2 linked regions of the Lepisosteus oculatus genome follow. The protein of the gene in region 1 purifies or fractionates together with the protein of each later gene. This does not show direct contact. Links are inferred from orthologs where the notes say so. Each region holds a gene or a part of one and is shown on either strand. Other genes may lie near its edges.

Region 1 (8,009 bases):
AAAGACGAATTCCTAATGCAAGAAATTGTACAGGGCTAATAAAGAAACATTCTTATGATTAACATTATTATTATTATTACATTAACATTATTACCCCTGGCCATAGGGTTCCACTACATACTCTGCTTAAAGATTAACTCTACTGTGGGATAGGTACAGTATGTGCACCGTTTTCACTGCTTTTGAAGCACTTGATGCAATTGATTTTTGAATGAATCTGCCACCGACGCAGCTATTTTAGAATAATTTATTTTCCCTTTTCAGCACACAGCTGTTTACACAAGAACCTAAGCTGTGAATGCTCACGGCCTTCTCTGCTGACTGCAGTACTTGCTGGATTTTGCTTTTAAGGCGTAGCTGTTCGGCTATATTGCAGAAACCAGGGAACATGCTGTCCTTGCAATTGCCATTCGAATGAAGCCCACAATGTCTTGGAGACATCCTGGCTTGCAAGCCCAGTGGCACAGATCCAGCTGTTCCTCTCCACCCACCTCAGATATTCTCAGGTGAGCGCTGGCCGTTTAATTCCACCATGCATCTTATGTCAAAACATCTTTGTTATCCTGGACACTTCAAAAGCATTGTACAGATCAATATACCAGCGACCACACGCTAAACTAATTCTAAAAATCAAAGCCAGAGAGAACAGCTGCTTGGGACGTTTCTGGTAAGCATATAAGCAGGCACAGGTGTGTAGAATACAAATAACACAAAACAAGGTTCATGGAACCGATTGTGACTGAAGGAGCACGGTTTCATTTTTTTTTTTGGTTTGCTCCATGTCATACAGAACGTATGAATTCGCCTTTTGAACTTAGTGCGGATTTGCTTCTGCAACTCGGTTAATTAACCAGGCAAAGAACTTTCCTTCATATTTGCACTCCACATCTTATCCCAAAAAAGGTAAGCAGCATGAAACATCCAGCAGCTCGTGTTGAGTCATACAGAGGAGCATTCAACCCTGGAATGGTTGGAAATGCTTTAACATGGGGAGTGTTATTTATATCTCGGTCTCAGAAAATCTCAGTGTCAGTCTCCTGAGAAGCCTTTTTTTGAGTATATGGATGTGTTTAAGTTTTACAAGAATCTCTCCGATGATTCCAGGGCATATGTTCAATACATTTACCTTTTCCTTCATTCACAATCCAAATACTAACGCTAACCCTCAACGAACTTTATAGATTCTCTAGAGGAAACACCTAGTACCCTTTTCTTTGTGTGATATATCTCCACTTGCATGTGTGAGTGTGTTTTCATAAGACTGCTGCATGCACAGTTCTTGGTATGTTCCTGCAGAAGTTATTGTGACAATCTGTTGGGTTTTTTTCTGGTGTGGGGAGGGGTGCCGAATAGAGGGTGTCGCTCATTAGCAACACGTAGAGCAAACCGCAAAGTATCAGCAACAAGAAAACCACTCACCAAGATAATGTCATGATGACTAAGGAACGGAGCGACAGGAAAGAGGAAGACAACAACATGGACCTGCCCACCTCCTCCGTGTTCATTCATCACACATGGGCCCAAAATCTCAGGGAATTATCAGGTGAAGGGGTTCACACTTTTCCCCTCCCACTCTTGCAGAAGTAGGGGGTGCTTCTGAGAATCCCCGTTTCCTATTGGGGAGCACCTCATAAGCTTCCACACATAAAGAGCAAAAATGCTTGGCCAAACAAGAACAGGAAGGATCTGGTCTGTGTGGTCTCTCGACTGAGGGAGCTGAGTCCAAGCTTTACAATCAAATCTTATCTAAGATTATTATAGATGGGGTGCAAGTGCTAAAGTGCTCTGCACCTGTGTGGCATGTATGGACCCGTTAGTGGTTTTAAAGCCTGATCTATATTTTAGGCTCACATACACAGCATGCACTGCAGTATGACGGAGCCCAGTCCCAGACAACGTCCACAGTGGCGCCCACAGGGTAGAGTTCACCAAACAGCCCTCAGGTGGAAAACGCGCTAACCATCCCATTGCAGAAAAGCGGTGAGCGGTGACTTGCTAGCGTGTGAACATCAACCACACTGACAAAGCAGCAGCTATTGAGGGTGCCCGGGCCGTTTCTCACCTTCCGCCAGCGTCTCCTCCACCGTGACCTGGTGCCGTCCGACGCTGAACACCCTTCCAATGTAACTGCCGCCGCCGCCGGACCCGCTCCCGCCGCCTCCGCCGGCGCCGGAGCCCGGGCCGGAGCCGACCTGCTCCCGACGAGAGTCGAAAAACTTCTTCATCTTCCCCGGCAGTCGGACGACGGGACGGGGGGAGGAGGAGGAGGAGGAGGAAAGAAGTTCAATGTGCGAAAAGAGAAAGCAATCCCAAGGAAACGTCCCGGTCCGCCCCAGCCAGGTTCGAGCTCCGGTGTGAAGGCGGTATAACACTGGCAGCGCCAAAAGTGCCAAATCCGGCGAGTGTCCCGGCTATGACAGCTATTCAGCTGAACCTGAAAACGTGCCAAAGGGATCCTGTCTGCTTATGCTTTGGCAAAACAGCCCCTTGCAATACGGCTGTCACTTTCCTATCTTCCACGTAAGAAAAGCCCAAGGTTAAACTGGTTAGGCGCCCCAGAAGCAAGTGGCCGAATCCATGACGAATAAATAAAAAAAAAATAAAGAAAATTAAAAAGCTACCCCCTTCCGACGATGTCGCTAAGATGCTCAGGCGTTAAATACAATTATTGCAATAGCAAAGCTAAGCGATCTTTTTTTATTCTTTTCTTCCCTTCTCAGCTTAAAACAGCGTCTTCTCCATTGCTTCCCCGGAGCCTTGGTAAATAAGGCATGGGTAGAGACTCATTTCATCACGCCAGCCAGGGATGCGAGCGAACTGGTGCAATGATTGTGTAGCTTAAAAAAAAAATCCTGCCCCAGTTCGGATGCTTGTTTCTATTCGAAAATCTCTCCTTCCAGCCCTGCCATCAGTATGGTATATTTATCTTGTCTTTCACGATTTCTTCAAAGCCTTTTCGGCCTCTTCTGTGGGGTTTATTTTATGTACGAATTCCCAATTAACCAGAGCCCTTTTTTTCCCAAACCCCCTCTGGTTTATTTCAACGTCTAGGTTTGCTCTTAAAAAACAGCTGAGCGGCTCGTCCCCATACCAGGAAATACAACAAAACAGGAAATGGAAAAAACAACTTCTCCACTCTATCGCATTTTTAGGCCTCGGTGCACTGAGATTCACTGCAGATACGCGATATCGTCTTTCCTAAAATCTGAAAATAAAAATAAAGACGATAATCTGAATTACTGTCACTCCGCGGCGAAGGATGGTAATTGTAGTCCCGGGCTGGTTTACACCCACTGGGTGAGGAAAGTAGGAGCGCAAAGTGACAACTCAAGAACTACAACTCCCATCCGCAATTAGAGTCGATTAAACATTTTCCTAATACAATTTTAAAAATAAACCAAATCATTGTACAGAGCAGTATGCGTGTGTCGGCCTCGTACAATGCATTACATTTCAAAAGTAGTTTGAAATACGATGTTGACAGAAATCAGCCCCTTTCTCTCAAAGCATTGTGGTACTCGTAGTGTTTTTTTGCTCACCAGAAAAACTCTGGATATCGTTTGGTATCGACTATCCTTAGAAACTTTCTGAAGCGACATGAATAGGTTGTAGTGTAGTCCTCAATTCATAATATGTGTATATATAACCAACTGGGTATTGTCGTTTTTGGTGTAGATGTTGCAGTTTTAACAGAAAGGCCACATCTTGGAATGAATACTATGAATGAACGAACCCGAGACTATCTCTTTTTCCCTTTCTGTCTGATCTTCGCCCATGACCTTGGGCGGTCAGAATTAATTCACAAAAATGCAAACATTTTGAGCCATTTTGCCTTCTAGCTTTCACGATGCAGTACATCAATAAATGACTGCGCATAATCTATATACTGCATATATTTTAAAGTCATAATTCCTTATGTATATATGTATCTGCATATAACCACACAGATGCACAGGCATACACAAAACATCGATAGTAGAAAATAAATATTGCACTAAAATAACGCATTAATATTCACATAATATATCACGATATAAAACAAAAAAAGTAATAGATGTTTTATGGTTTTAATTTCTCAATTAAATGAAAACAATATTAGGATACTTTTAAGTATTAATTTTAAATATAATTTTATCTGTATAGCCTTTTCTACCCCCAAAAGAAGTTCTGCACATATAGGACTAGATTCATTTCAACCAAGAAGTGCATCACGTTCTCTCTATATCCCTTTTTATATTCAGATGGTACCGTACACTAGAGCACGTTATTATGACAGTCACTCTGTCTCATGACCGATTACAATAATCAGGATAAGAATTACTTAAATGATGCTATTGTTGGTGCTACTATTGCAACTGACCTGAAAAGGGTATAATTAGAAATAAATATTATTTTCCACATCTCCTTCATGAGCAAAATGTTCCACACTGACATGATAAAAGAACTGAACGTTTATAGTTTTGAACACAGAAGACTAAAACGGAATGTGATACAAATTTTCAGAATCTTCAAGGGATTTTACAAAGTCTCGCCCAGTGGACGTCTTCAGAATGAAGAGCAAAACATGAACCAGAGAACAGAAGACTGTTTTATTTACCCAAAGGGTGGTGGAAGAGTGGAACAAGCTATCTGGCTGAGTTGGTGAAGCCAATACGCTGGCTTCATTCAGGAAACAGCATCTGAAATCCCCAGATCAATCAACTACAAATGAACAAACAGACTAGTTGGGCTGAATGACCTCTTCTTGTTTGTAACCCTTCCTGTTTTCTTATAAACATGCAATTTTCCTAACTGGATCATTAAAGTATCTATATAAAAATAACTGCTAGGTAACAGCGTAAAACGTCCTTAAGAGGGAGCCATCACATCACTGCTTATGTTCTGTGTTGAGTAAAGGAAATGGCCTTTGAATTTAGTACACTATACTTTTATTCTTTCTGAATTATTATTAGCAGTATGAGGATCATCAGTAGTTATTAATATTCCAATATTTGGAATGTTAAATAGCCATATACCTAATATATTCCTAAATATATATATATATTCAATATAATATTGAAGTAGAACAATGTAGTCATTCACTTAGTCATGTATAAAGTAAACTGTAACCTAAACATTACTATGTACTTCATTAACAGTCACTGAAATCTTATTTCTTTACTGAAAAACAGTCAGCAATAAGCAACTCCTCTTAATCCCTACAGCTAGAATTCTTTACTTCTACGACTCTGACTTGATTAAAAGCAACACAAGACCCATGCTTCTCAGTGTGTCAAGCCTATTCAAAACAGACTGGGAAAATATGAAATATTAATTCTGGGGGGGGATATCTCAAAGGTATATTGAGGTATTCATTCCAGACCAGGTGGAGCCTGTGTCTTTGTTCTTTCTGTGGTGTGTGTGTGTTTTTTTTCAAAAAGCATCTCATGCAGTCACAGTGTGCAGTTCCATTCAGTACAATACAAAAGTGTATTTCCTACATGGATCACATACATTAACAATGGGGACTCAGGCTCCAGTCTGTGACTTGTATAGGGTTTTCTAGTTTTTGCCCATCTCATATGAAGTCTCAGTTACGTCATTAATCTAATTATAAATAATGAGCTTTAATTTATTTATATCATACGACTGGGGACTGTAGTCAGCAGTCCCAGGTAGCTGGATGCGTTTTTAATCTTCTATGTACTGTATTACACGCAATATTTCAAAGTAGTTTTAATGCACGTAGTTATGTGACATTTTTATTTGTGTTATCCGGCAAAATTAATAGTCTGGATAATAATATAAATAGCATTGTTCTAACTGGTACCAGGGAAAGAGGTCCATGAAAACAGAATCTGATTAGTGCCTTGCACCTTGTGAGTGAGTTAGGGTGATCCTTAAAATGATGCATGATAATCTTTATGTACAGTATCAGCAGCCCTTCTACTCAACAGAACTGGAAGATAAGTGAGCAGATTGCTTAATCAATTTAATTAAGAGGGAACATCAAGCAGGCCAGGTTGTCTGACAAATCCAGAACAGAATAACATCTTATCTCAACTTCCCACAGCACAGTGTCCCAGGTCACTGTAATGGGGCATTGGTTTTTAGAAACTGTGGTTTAAAAAAGAGTGGAAGAGTGCTGCCAAGATCACCATCCGTAGAGCCTACCCTCAAATACCGTGGTCTCCCTGGATGGGAACATACAAGAAAAGGCCAGCGAGAAAGTGTATTTCTCCATCTCCTTCACCACAATCTAAAAGTCAACAGCTGGAGTCGTGTCACACAAATTGGAGTACCTTTGGCGGCCTCTACTGGTAGTCCCTGTGTAATTGCAGCCTGTTCTTATGCAGACCGGTTACACCGCTTCCAGGAGTCATCAGGTTTTCCTTAAAGATCTACCATCATGGTACTGACCACACCCAGGCATGTTTACCTTCTGTGATCTGACATTTTAAGACTCTAAGAGCCTGTGATGTTTGGTGGTAATGCTTATTTACCTGGACTAGACCTTCTTCTCTATAACCCTCTTTCCTATTGAGATAATTTTCTTCAGCTTGACCATCTTCTGATAAGACTCCTGACTAACAGCTCTTATAATACAGCTGGACTGCAACACCTGTCCGACAAGCTGCCTAGCCCGAGCCTCTTTTCGTTTTGGTGATTTGTAACAGGCCTTCGAGCTCCAGCATGTTTAAAGGAACTCTCTTGCTTTCTCTTTTTTCTCTGTGAAGAAAGTCTACAACACACTTGAAGTATGAGGGATAGATCATTGACAAATATGATAAAAATAAAGCTCAGAAAAACAGTGTTAAATAAATACTTTTATATTGATCTATGTGACAATTACAATTACAAGACAATGCAGTAAGTAAACAGATTAGACAGATTAAACATTTTTTACTTGCAGTATATGATATATGGTCTGAAATGTGAAACAAAACTAAAATATCAGTCATGGAATAATTCATTATTTTAAGAAGTACTTTAATACTGCTTAAAGTGGGCTATCCACTATCTACTCATCTGTCTAATCACTTAATCCAATTCAGGGACACAGGAGCCAGAGTCTATAAAAGTGGACTGTTTATTACTTAAATACTGTATGTATTCAGTCATTCATTTAATCTTTATTCTTAGACTGTCATGTTGTATCTTCAAGTGATTCCAACATTGAACATAGTTATGCTAAAACATTGATATTGTCCACATAAAAAGCTCTGTATTGACACAGCACAAGTAATATCACTATTAACAGAATGATATCAACTACCTGTAAGTGTAGCACGTGTCCAGCCTAGGCATGATGGGACAGGGAAACTGATTATTACAGTATTTGTTTAAGGGTAGTTTCTTGCTTTGTTTTGCATATTCAAACCCCTAGGACTACTTTCGTAAGCTGCTTGTTGCACTCTACATGAAGAAAAAGCATTTACCTGTTTATAAGAACAAAAGAAAAGCCCATTTAATTTATTTTTAATGCCATTTTGTTTTAAGAGTTTTATTCATGGCATCAGATTCAGCAAATGGCTTGTTTCAGACTCCCTCGACATTTTTGTAAAACTCTTGTTCCAGATCTTTAATGCCTCATTTACTTTGCACTTGTGTTCTCTGGTCTGCATTTCGTGGATCCTCAAATCCACTTGTCTGGTTTTGGGAATACTTTTCAGGATTCTGAAAGCTTGTCGCAGGTCCATCGGTAATAGTTTCTGAGGCAAAAGAGATTTGATTCCTTTACCCTGTCTGTGAAGGAAACTCCCTTAAAAGTGCAGAATTAACCAGGTCAACAACTCCACATGTTATTGTGGGTGTGGTGCTATACAAGAAGGAGAATTTCAATAAAGTACCAAACATTACAGCAAATAATGCTTTCTGTATTGTGCATCTAGAATAACCTTTAAGAAAACTATTGAGAAGTCTGATACATTGTATACACAGTTATAGAATCACAGATATACTGTATAAAGGGACACCCTACTGTCAGGTGGGGAGCTGCTAAAGTGCATCTAATGTACACTGCAAAAAAC
Region 2 (8,000 bases), on another chromosome or scaffold:
GGTGCCTAACAGCTGCTCAGAAATTGTACTAGACTGTACAACCGATTTTACTTAAAGGTAAACACACTGGAGACCTTTGACAAAGGGAACATTTTACCCTTCTCCCTAGAACAGTACTATCCTGCTGTGCAACCATTCTAGTATGAAATAAATTCTTTATTCTAGATGAACAGAGGAAACCAATTCTTCTCAGTCTCGACAGTCTCTCCTCCTACCAGCAGGGGGCACTGACATCCACACAGCCCATCTTTCAAGTCACGGCTGTCTCACCTCAGGAGCTCAAGGGCAAGGAGTCTCACGCCAGCCATCTCCAACAGGCTCTGCCCGCTGAACATAAAGCTCAGTCAAACAAGCGACAAAAACCCTCAGCAACCCATGACCATATTGCACATTTTAAACATATTAAACTTCACGAAGTACAACAAGCAGATTTTCACAAAGCACTGGCACTGGAATGGCTGTCCCTAATTTGAATGACTATACTGCACTCCGATATCGCTCGCACAGTTTTCTGTACCCTGTACTATAATAATAATAATAATAATAATAATAATAATTAATAATAAAAAGTTGTTTACACTTGTATTGCACTTTTCTGGACACTACACTCAAAGCACTTTACAGGTAATGGGGATCCCCTCCACCACCAGTGTGCAGCCCCACCTGGATGATGCGACGGCAGCCATAGTGCGCCAGAACGCTCCCCACACACCAGCTCTCAGTGGGGAGGAGAGCAGAGTAAGAAGGCTCCACAACCGAAACGTTGCGTTTTCTCTCTTCTCTTTTCAGCAGGGAATAAACCTGTTACTTGTTCCTTTGCAGACTACGCGTGCCGACGCAGCTCCCCACCTGATCTATTTCAATAACAATAATAATACACGAAATACCAATAACACTCATGTGACAAAACAACTATATGTTTAAGTGTGGGAATGTTATTAGCACCACTGTATTCCAGAATATCACTGGGGAATTTCAGACTATACATTTATTTCAAATGAGTCATAACCACCTGAAAGGAAAATTGCACACTTCCTAGGCGAGGAAATGAATTCCAGGCCTGGGTGGAATTGAGGAATCTAGGTGTAATGGCATGGTACGTTTTAAGGAAAAACATCGTCATACAGATCTTCGGGGTCATTTGCTTTCCTGGAGCAATAGTTATACTACTGCTTTTCTGAGAACAAAGTGGAAAAACCCCATCAGAACTGTTTCAGCCCCCTGGTTTTCTGAATGATGGTCTGCAATAACAGAGGCTCTGCTTCCTGGGCCTGTCCTCAGGTACGCTGCCCAGCGTGTAAAAACAAACCCCTCTGCAGTGTGGGCCGTAGCGTCTCAAAAACGCTCATTTCTTTACGTAACAAAACCCTTTTTCCTTTTCACTTAGACTCTCCCGCTCCTTGTAGTTATTACTAAAAGAGAAGGAAAGAATAATCTGTCATTTCTGAACGTACCTAGCCAGAGTCAGGACTTTTCTGTCATGTTTGCTTCCAAACTTCATAACTGAGTCTGGACACTTCATCAACCACTGCTGTGATCAACAAACAGGCTTCCTCCAATCGCATTTTTTAAACAGTTTATGAAAGAGGTGCTCATAAAAATGAGGAAAACGTAGGCTTACTAGATGATACACAAACTACTTGTGTCCTGTCGGCACAAAACTGCAGAAATGACGGAAGAGACAACAGTCAGGCTCCCAGAGAGAGAGAGAGATCAACACCATCAAAAGCCAAAAGCTTCAATCAGTTTACGGTGGGAGTATCAGAAAGGACAACACGGTCACAAAAAAGGCAAGTCTACAGCCCACCATAATATCTACACGAGGCTTAAGAAATATTCGCGAGCCGGAGACGACATCCCTGATTAAGTCAAAACACACGGAGAAATGTGTAAGGGCTCGTAAACCAATCACCCAGGCGGTTATTCTTATTCCAGACGTTTCTGAAGCAAAATGATCAGGATGCTTAGAAGTAAAATCTTGCGGGTTTTTTTTTGTCCCGACCAAACAAGTGGATTACCCAAGAAAAAAAGTTGTTGTTTTTTTACCTGGCTGTGGATGCAAAGCTGACCTATTTGCTGCAGCACGCCGTGTCAGATAACTATATATATATAAAAACCGTCTGTACAGCGAACGCAGAATTCCTGCTACACGGTGAATCCATGCAGATCGGGTCAAGTTGACTTCAATTTCCAGCAAACTGCGTCAAGCGACACGTCCCCCTGACCGGTCCTTCCTGGAAAGCAGAACTCGTCTGGGAACGAGCAGCAGCTGCCCCCACTCGGGAAGACAGAGACAGAGACAGACAGAGACAGAGAGACAGACAGGGACACACACAGACAGAGACAGGGACACACACAGGGACACACACAGACAGAGACAGAGAGACAGACAGGGACACACACAGACAGAGACACACGCTGACAGACACCCTGCTCCTGCTGTCCTGGGCTCTCTCATGAAGTCACACCTCAACTGCGTGGACCGGTGTCAGGCGGCCAGGGGAACAGGGACAAGATGTCACACAAACTCATCGCGAACCCACTTTCACTCGAAATCCGCTTTCCACCCCCAGCTCCTCCAGGGACACATCTATTTCTTTTCTTCTAAACGGGCACCTCGGCGACATTATACCCCACCACCGCAATCAGACCGATTTCTGCTGTTACTTTTTGGGGTTACTCCTCTACTGTTACTCAGCGAATTCGTGCGACGAGCCTTTCTTTTCCTCCCGACAGCTTCACATAAACTCACAACAACAACAACGACGACACGATCTCCCTCTCCCCGTCCTGTCCGGGGGGGTGGAGGGCTGGAAAGGCCGGCGACAGACACGTTTACTGTCATTACCTGCGCAGGAAGACGCTTTTAAAGAAACGTGTATTAAATAAATGATCACGCACTCCCAGCCACAGGACCGACGTTAAATCCTCCGGTCCCACCAGCTCGTCAGACCCAGGGCTCAGCTCTGCACGAACCGAGGCCCAAATGAGTCTCAACACAGGATCCGCCAGTCCGCTGTCCTACCCTGCCACACGAACATCGTTTTAAACCTAAACTTCGGCGCGGCTAACGGTTTCTTTTCTCTTCTTGGTAAAACACATATTAACTGGCGCTCCTGAAACCTAGAAACACAAAACTAACAACCAACCTGTTTCGGTGAATTGCAGTGGGTAGCTGTTTTTCCTGCTGTTTTCGTACACACAAAAAACCCCATGTGAGCATGCGCGGTGGATCTTTGGGGGTGGCACTTTGGGATTTGTAGTTTTTCGATGTAAAACAAATGGTTAACGTTTACTGCTGTAAACTTAGAAAAACTACAGTATCCATATGCCCTCTGTGCTGTGTTTTTATATATATATACAGTAAACTATATATAACTTTGATATACGTTTGTAGGTTTCAACGTCAAGGAAAATGTTACTAAACGGCTCCCTTTAGAGCAACAGAATCTAAACAAATTACAAAATTCTTAATGCATTTTGTAATTACATATGCTGTATTAGCTAACTAGTTCACGAGTGCAATATTTTACAGGCGTTTAACCACTTACAACAATTGCTAATTGCTAATTGTCCTGTTTCTTTTTATAGTGCATTTCTTGTTTTATTGTACATTTGCTTTTTTTTTTCATAAGGGCCTGACTCTGCTAGTGGGCGCTGTCAGCTTTTCGTCGAATAGTTCACCCAATGCCTACGTTCGGTGAGTTTCTTGAAGCTCCTGATGAGGTGTTTTTATATATACATAAATAATACCTTCTAGATTTTGAATTCAGGTGTAAGCACCCATGTTTATGACGATCTCTGCAAGATAATAAGGGATATTTGGAATTTTAACTATTTTCCCACATAATGTTTTAATTTTTTTTAAGGCATTAGAAAAATAATGCTAGAGATAATAAACATACTGAATAATATCTTTAATAGCAGTGCTTTTTAATATGTGCACTGGGGCACATTTCTAAATGCTTAGTTTGCTCCTGTGAATTCAAAATTATAAAAGCAAAGCCTGAAAATGAGAAATGGCACATTGCCAGAATAAAATAAACATTTTATTATGGCGAGATTAAATGAGCATTCGTTTACTAATACAATTTTAGTCACTAATAATAACTTGAATTGATCTCTCTCTTTAGCTCCAAATGTCCTGAAACACCTTGCGTGTAGAAAGGACTTCATCCACACAGGGACACCTGGCAGTCGTCACACACCAGCAGCCCCACCGGTGGAGACATCAGCAATTACTTCACTAATTTAATTAAGGCAAAACTGTAGGTAGAGCAGAATGTAGCTGCGCTATGGGATCTTTAACCACCAGATGGTTACAGATCTTGGCTTAACATCTCATCTGAAGCTCAGGGTCCTCTGTCACCATGCTGGGTCACTGGTTTGGAAATCCTGGTCCACAGGGAGTGTTGGAGACCCACCACCATCACACCAGCAACCCAGTTCTACTCCAGGCCCGGTCATTGCTTCGTTTCCGGGACCCCACAGTGATACCAACTTAACCTGCGCTCGTGGTCAAAACCATGTCACCCTGACGCTCACTGCTGGGAGCCCACTGAAGCTCAGCAGGTGTGAGCCTGGTCAGTACCTGGATGGGAGACTCCTGGGAAAAACTGCTGCTGGAAGAGGTGTTAGTGGGGCCAGCAGGGGGCGCTCACCCTGTGGTCTGTGTGGGTCCTAATGCCCCAATATAGTGACGGGGACACTGTACTGTAAACAGGCGCCGTCTTTCAGATGAGACGTAAAATTGAGGTCCTCTCTGTGGTCATTAAAAATCCCAGGGTGTTTCTCGAAAAGAGTAGGAGTGTTACCCCTGTGTCTTGGCCAAATTTCCCCCTCATCTTTACCCATCATGGCCTCCTAATAATCCCCTCTCTGAACTCCGCTCTCCTCCCCACTGAGAGCTGGTGTGTGGGGAGCAGACTGGTGCATCATCCAGGTGAAGCTGCACACTGGTGGGGGTGGAGGGGATCCCCATTACCTGGAAAGGGCTTTGAGTGGGGTGTCCAGAAAAGCACTATACGAGTGTCACAGTTCAGTGTCTGTATTTCTCCGTGCGCACCAGTGCGTGTCCGTGTTTGGCACGTGCCCTCGTTCAGACAGCCGCCCTCTCTCAGGCTCTCGTGCTGCTCCGGGGGGTGGGCTGTGGCGCCCGCACTGCTGGTGCGGAGGTGGGGGCGCCTCTTCCGGGTTTCTAGGCGAACCCATCACTAGGCCAACACCACAGTCCAGAGCCGGCTCCTGCCGGGAAAGAAGGGACAGGCAGCAGTTTCTTCCCTGGGACAGCAGAGAGTCCTGGTGAGAAATCCATCTGGGAACATGAGGATCGAGAGATGTGGAAAAACCCCGAGCTGTTCCTGGAAGTGTGCAGGAGTCGGCCTGCCAGCCCAGAATCAACCCCAGAACCCACGAGCTGTGAGACAGCGCCACCTGCCTCAGTTTCCTCACCCCCCAGAACACGTTGATCACTTTCAAACCACTTTTTTGGTAAATGATATTCTTTATTTACAGCACAAAAGAAGAGACAATTCAGATTTTTCTCACAGAAAAGATGTGAAGCAAAAATGTTTAAGCACAGTCGCCTCCGTCTGAAATGAGTGTTGCTGGGTCATGCCTGCTAGCATACAACGAGCCGGAATAAATTGGTCAATATGTTGTCGCAATGACACCAGTTACAGTCACCACCAGAAAACCAGATGAAATACACACAGAGCAAAGAATTCATATTTCCCAATACATTGCAAGCTACCCTGAACACTGTTGCATTAATGAAATGCATCTACTTCCCTGTGCCAACTCAAGAGAATCATGTGATCTTACCCACCTCATTCCTCAGAGAAAGGGTCCTTTGTAAGGCTTCTTGGCAACCAAAGGAAAAACTACACAGCGATACTTTCGTTTCTATTCAAGTGAAGGCTGGCATCATGGTAAACACTGAGAGCTGAGCATGTACGCCAAGCAGTATTCATTTTCCCAGCTGAAGGATGTAATTTGCTAGCAACACAGAGACCTCACTTCAGTCAGCTCTTTTATCTCACTGCTGGGACCCCTGTGAGGGACAGATGAACGAGCAGGAACTATTCCCGTTCACGGAAAGAGTTTGGTCTCGTTACTTGCACGCTCTCACAGTGGAAATCCCCACGGCCGCCGTTTTTTAAAGGCCTCAAATCAAAGAAAAAGGCAGAAAAAGCCATGTAAGAGAGTCATAGTTAGACAAACTTGCAATGAGTGGCAACTAATTATTGTCAACACAGAGAATACCCACCCTCCATGATAATGCTCTGTTGGAAGACAGACCACAAGAGAAGTCTGAAATGACAAAATTATACATGGACAAAAATCAGGCAGTGGGATCGAAAATATTGTGATGCCGAGAACATCAAGCCCACTTTGGTTTATTGTTAGATTTATCGGTGGAAGAAAGTGCTTTATTTACAGAACTCCTAGGGTATACGACTATAAAATTCTAAAACATAAGAAAGGCCTCAAACAAGAGAAGGCCATTTAGGCCATCTTGTACATTTGCAAGTTGGGCTGCTGGTAGGGGATTGAGCAAAGGATCTTGTCCCAACTGCCATTCGAGCAAGAAAAAGAGTTAGAGGAACCCTTTCAATACTCTCACAATGCTTTGCACAAAGTAGCAACTCCTGCTCTTAAGAAATAAGATAAGATCACTTTATTGGCCCTATACAATTTCTTGCATTAGGAATTTGTCTTTTCGCATACCCCAGCTTGCTCTCCATGGCCCTATACAATTTCTTGCATTAGGAATTTGTCTTTTCGCATACCCCAGCTTGCTCTCCATGAGACACACAGACAGGGAGAGAAGCTGGGGGTCAGAGCGCAGGGTCAGCCATTGTACAGCACCCCTGGAGCAGTTGGGGTGAAGGGCCTTGCTCAGGGGCCCAACGGAGTAGGATTCCTCTGCTAGCCACAGGATTTGAACCGGCAACCTTCCAGCCACAGGCGCAGATCCTGAGCCACAGAGCCACCCCTCAGCCTCTCGTTCTTGGGCTGAAATACACTTTCACGTCATTTCCGCTTGTGTCTTCAGAGAAACAAACAAAGAAACTACTCAGAACATTATGACTCGGCTATGATAATAATCCACACCAATTATAAAACAGCCATAAAAGCAATATTTTCTGCTGTTTCATCCAATTCGGAACTCAGAACTATTCTATCTCCCATCATATAACTGTTAAGACAAACACCAGCACCCTCATGAAACCATCAGAGACAGGAAAAAAACAAAATGAACAGGCTGCTTATGTAAACGATGTGGGTGTTTACCTAACACCCTTCACACCTTCTATTGCCATGTGAAAGCAACGGAAATGTTAGGATATATGGTTAAAAGTGGAGAACTTAAATTAAAAAAAATGCTATAATAAAACTGTGCAGTGCGCTATTAAAATGTCACTCAGAATATTGTCTGCAATTGTGGTCACCATATCATAAAAATCGATATAGCTGGAGAAGAGCAGTCGGATACATTCTGTGGCTTGAAGGAATGTCCTATACCGGCAGACTGAAGGTACTGAACCCATTTAGTGCTGACCAGAGCAGACGTGACACTAGAACTCGAAATCCTCAAAGGCACTGACATGGTGAAACCAGCCGACTTCTTCAGAAGTGGGACACGAACCAGAGGACACAAGCAGAAACTCCACGAAGTGCGTTTAAGACTGAGAGCAGGAGAAACTTCTCTACCCAGAGGGCCGTGGGAGCATGGAACTACCTTGCTGAAGCCCAAACCCCTTAAGATCCCTGGAGTCGCAATCTAAAAATCTCAAAGGACAAACTGGATATCCTCTTGTCTTTACATAGCAATAGAATTGCCGACATTTTTCTGAACTACTGAATCCAAGTGTGCAGCAGAGGTTTAGTGTTTTGCCACATAACATTCGTTTGAACCTGCTTTTGGTTGATTGTTTCAGTTAAAACAAAACAACTTAAAATCTGCTAATTTGGAACCAGCTGCTTTTAACTTCACA

The links. The genes of interacting proteins can lie anywhere in the genome.
Region 2: the proteins of aak1b (region 1) and ralbp1 purify together in Homo sapiens (affinity purification with mass spectrometry; 3 studies listed by BioGRID and IntAct, counting the BioPlex papers as one, with this or other methods). This does not show direct contact. The link is inferred for Lepisosteus oculatus from reciprocal best matches to the Homo sapiens genes AAK1 and RALBP1.

The regions. Positions count from the first base shown.
Region 1 is NC_090697.1:72,603,350-72,611,358, forward strand, and holds the start of aak1b (AP2-associated protein kinase 1), read right to left. Parts: upstream 3,234-8,009; 5' UTR 2,226-3,233; coding exon 2,063-2,225; intron 1-2,062.
Region 2 is NC_090701.1:56,498,436-56,506,435, reverse strand, and holds the start of ralbp1 (ralA-binding protein 1), read right to left. Parts: upstream 3,240-8,000; 5' UTR 3,150-3,239; intron 1-3,149. UniProt on the Homo sapiens protein: Multifunctional protein that functions as a downstream effector of RALA and RALB. As a GTPase-activating protein/GAP can inactivate CDC42 and RAC1 by stimulating their GTPase activity.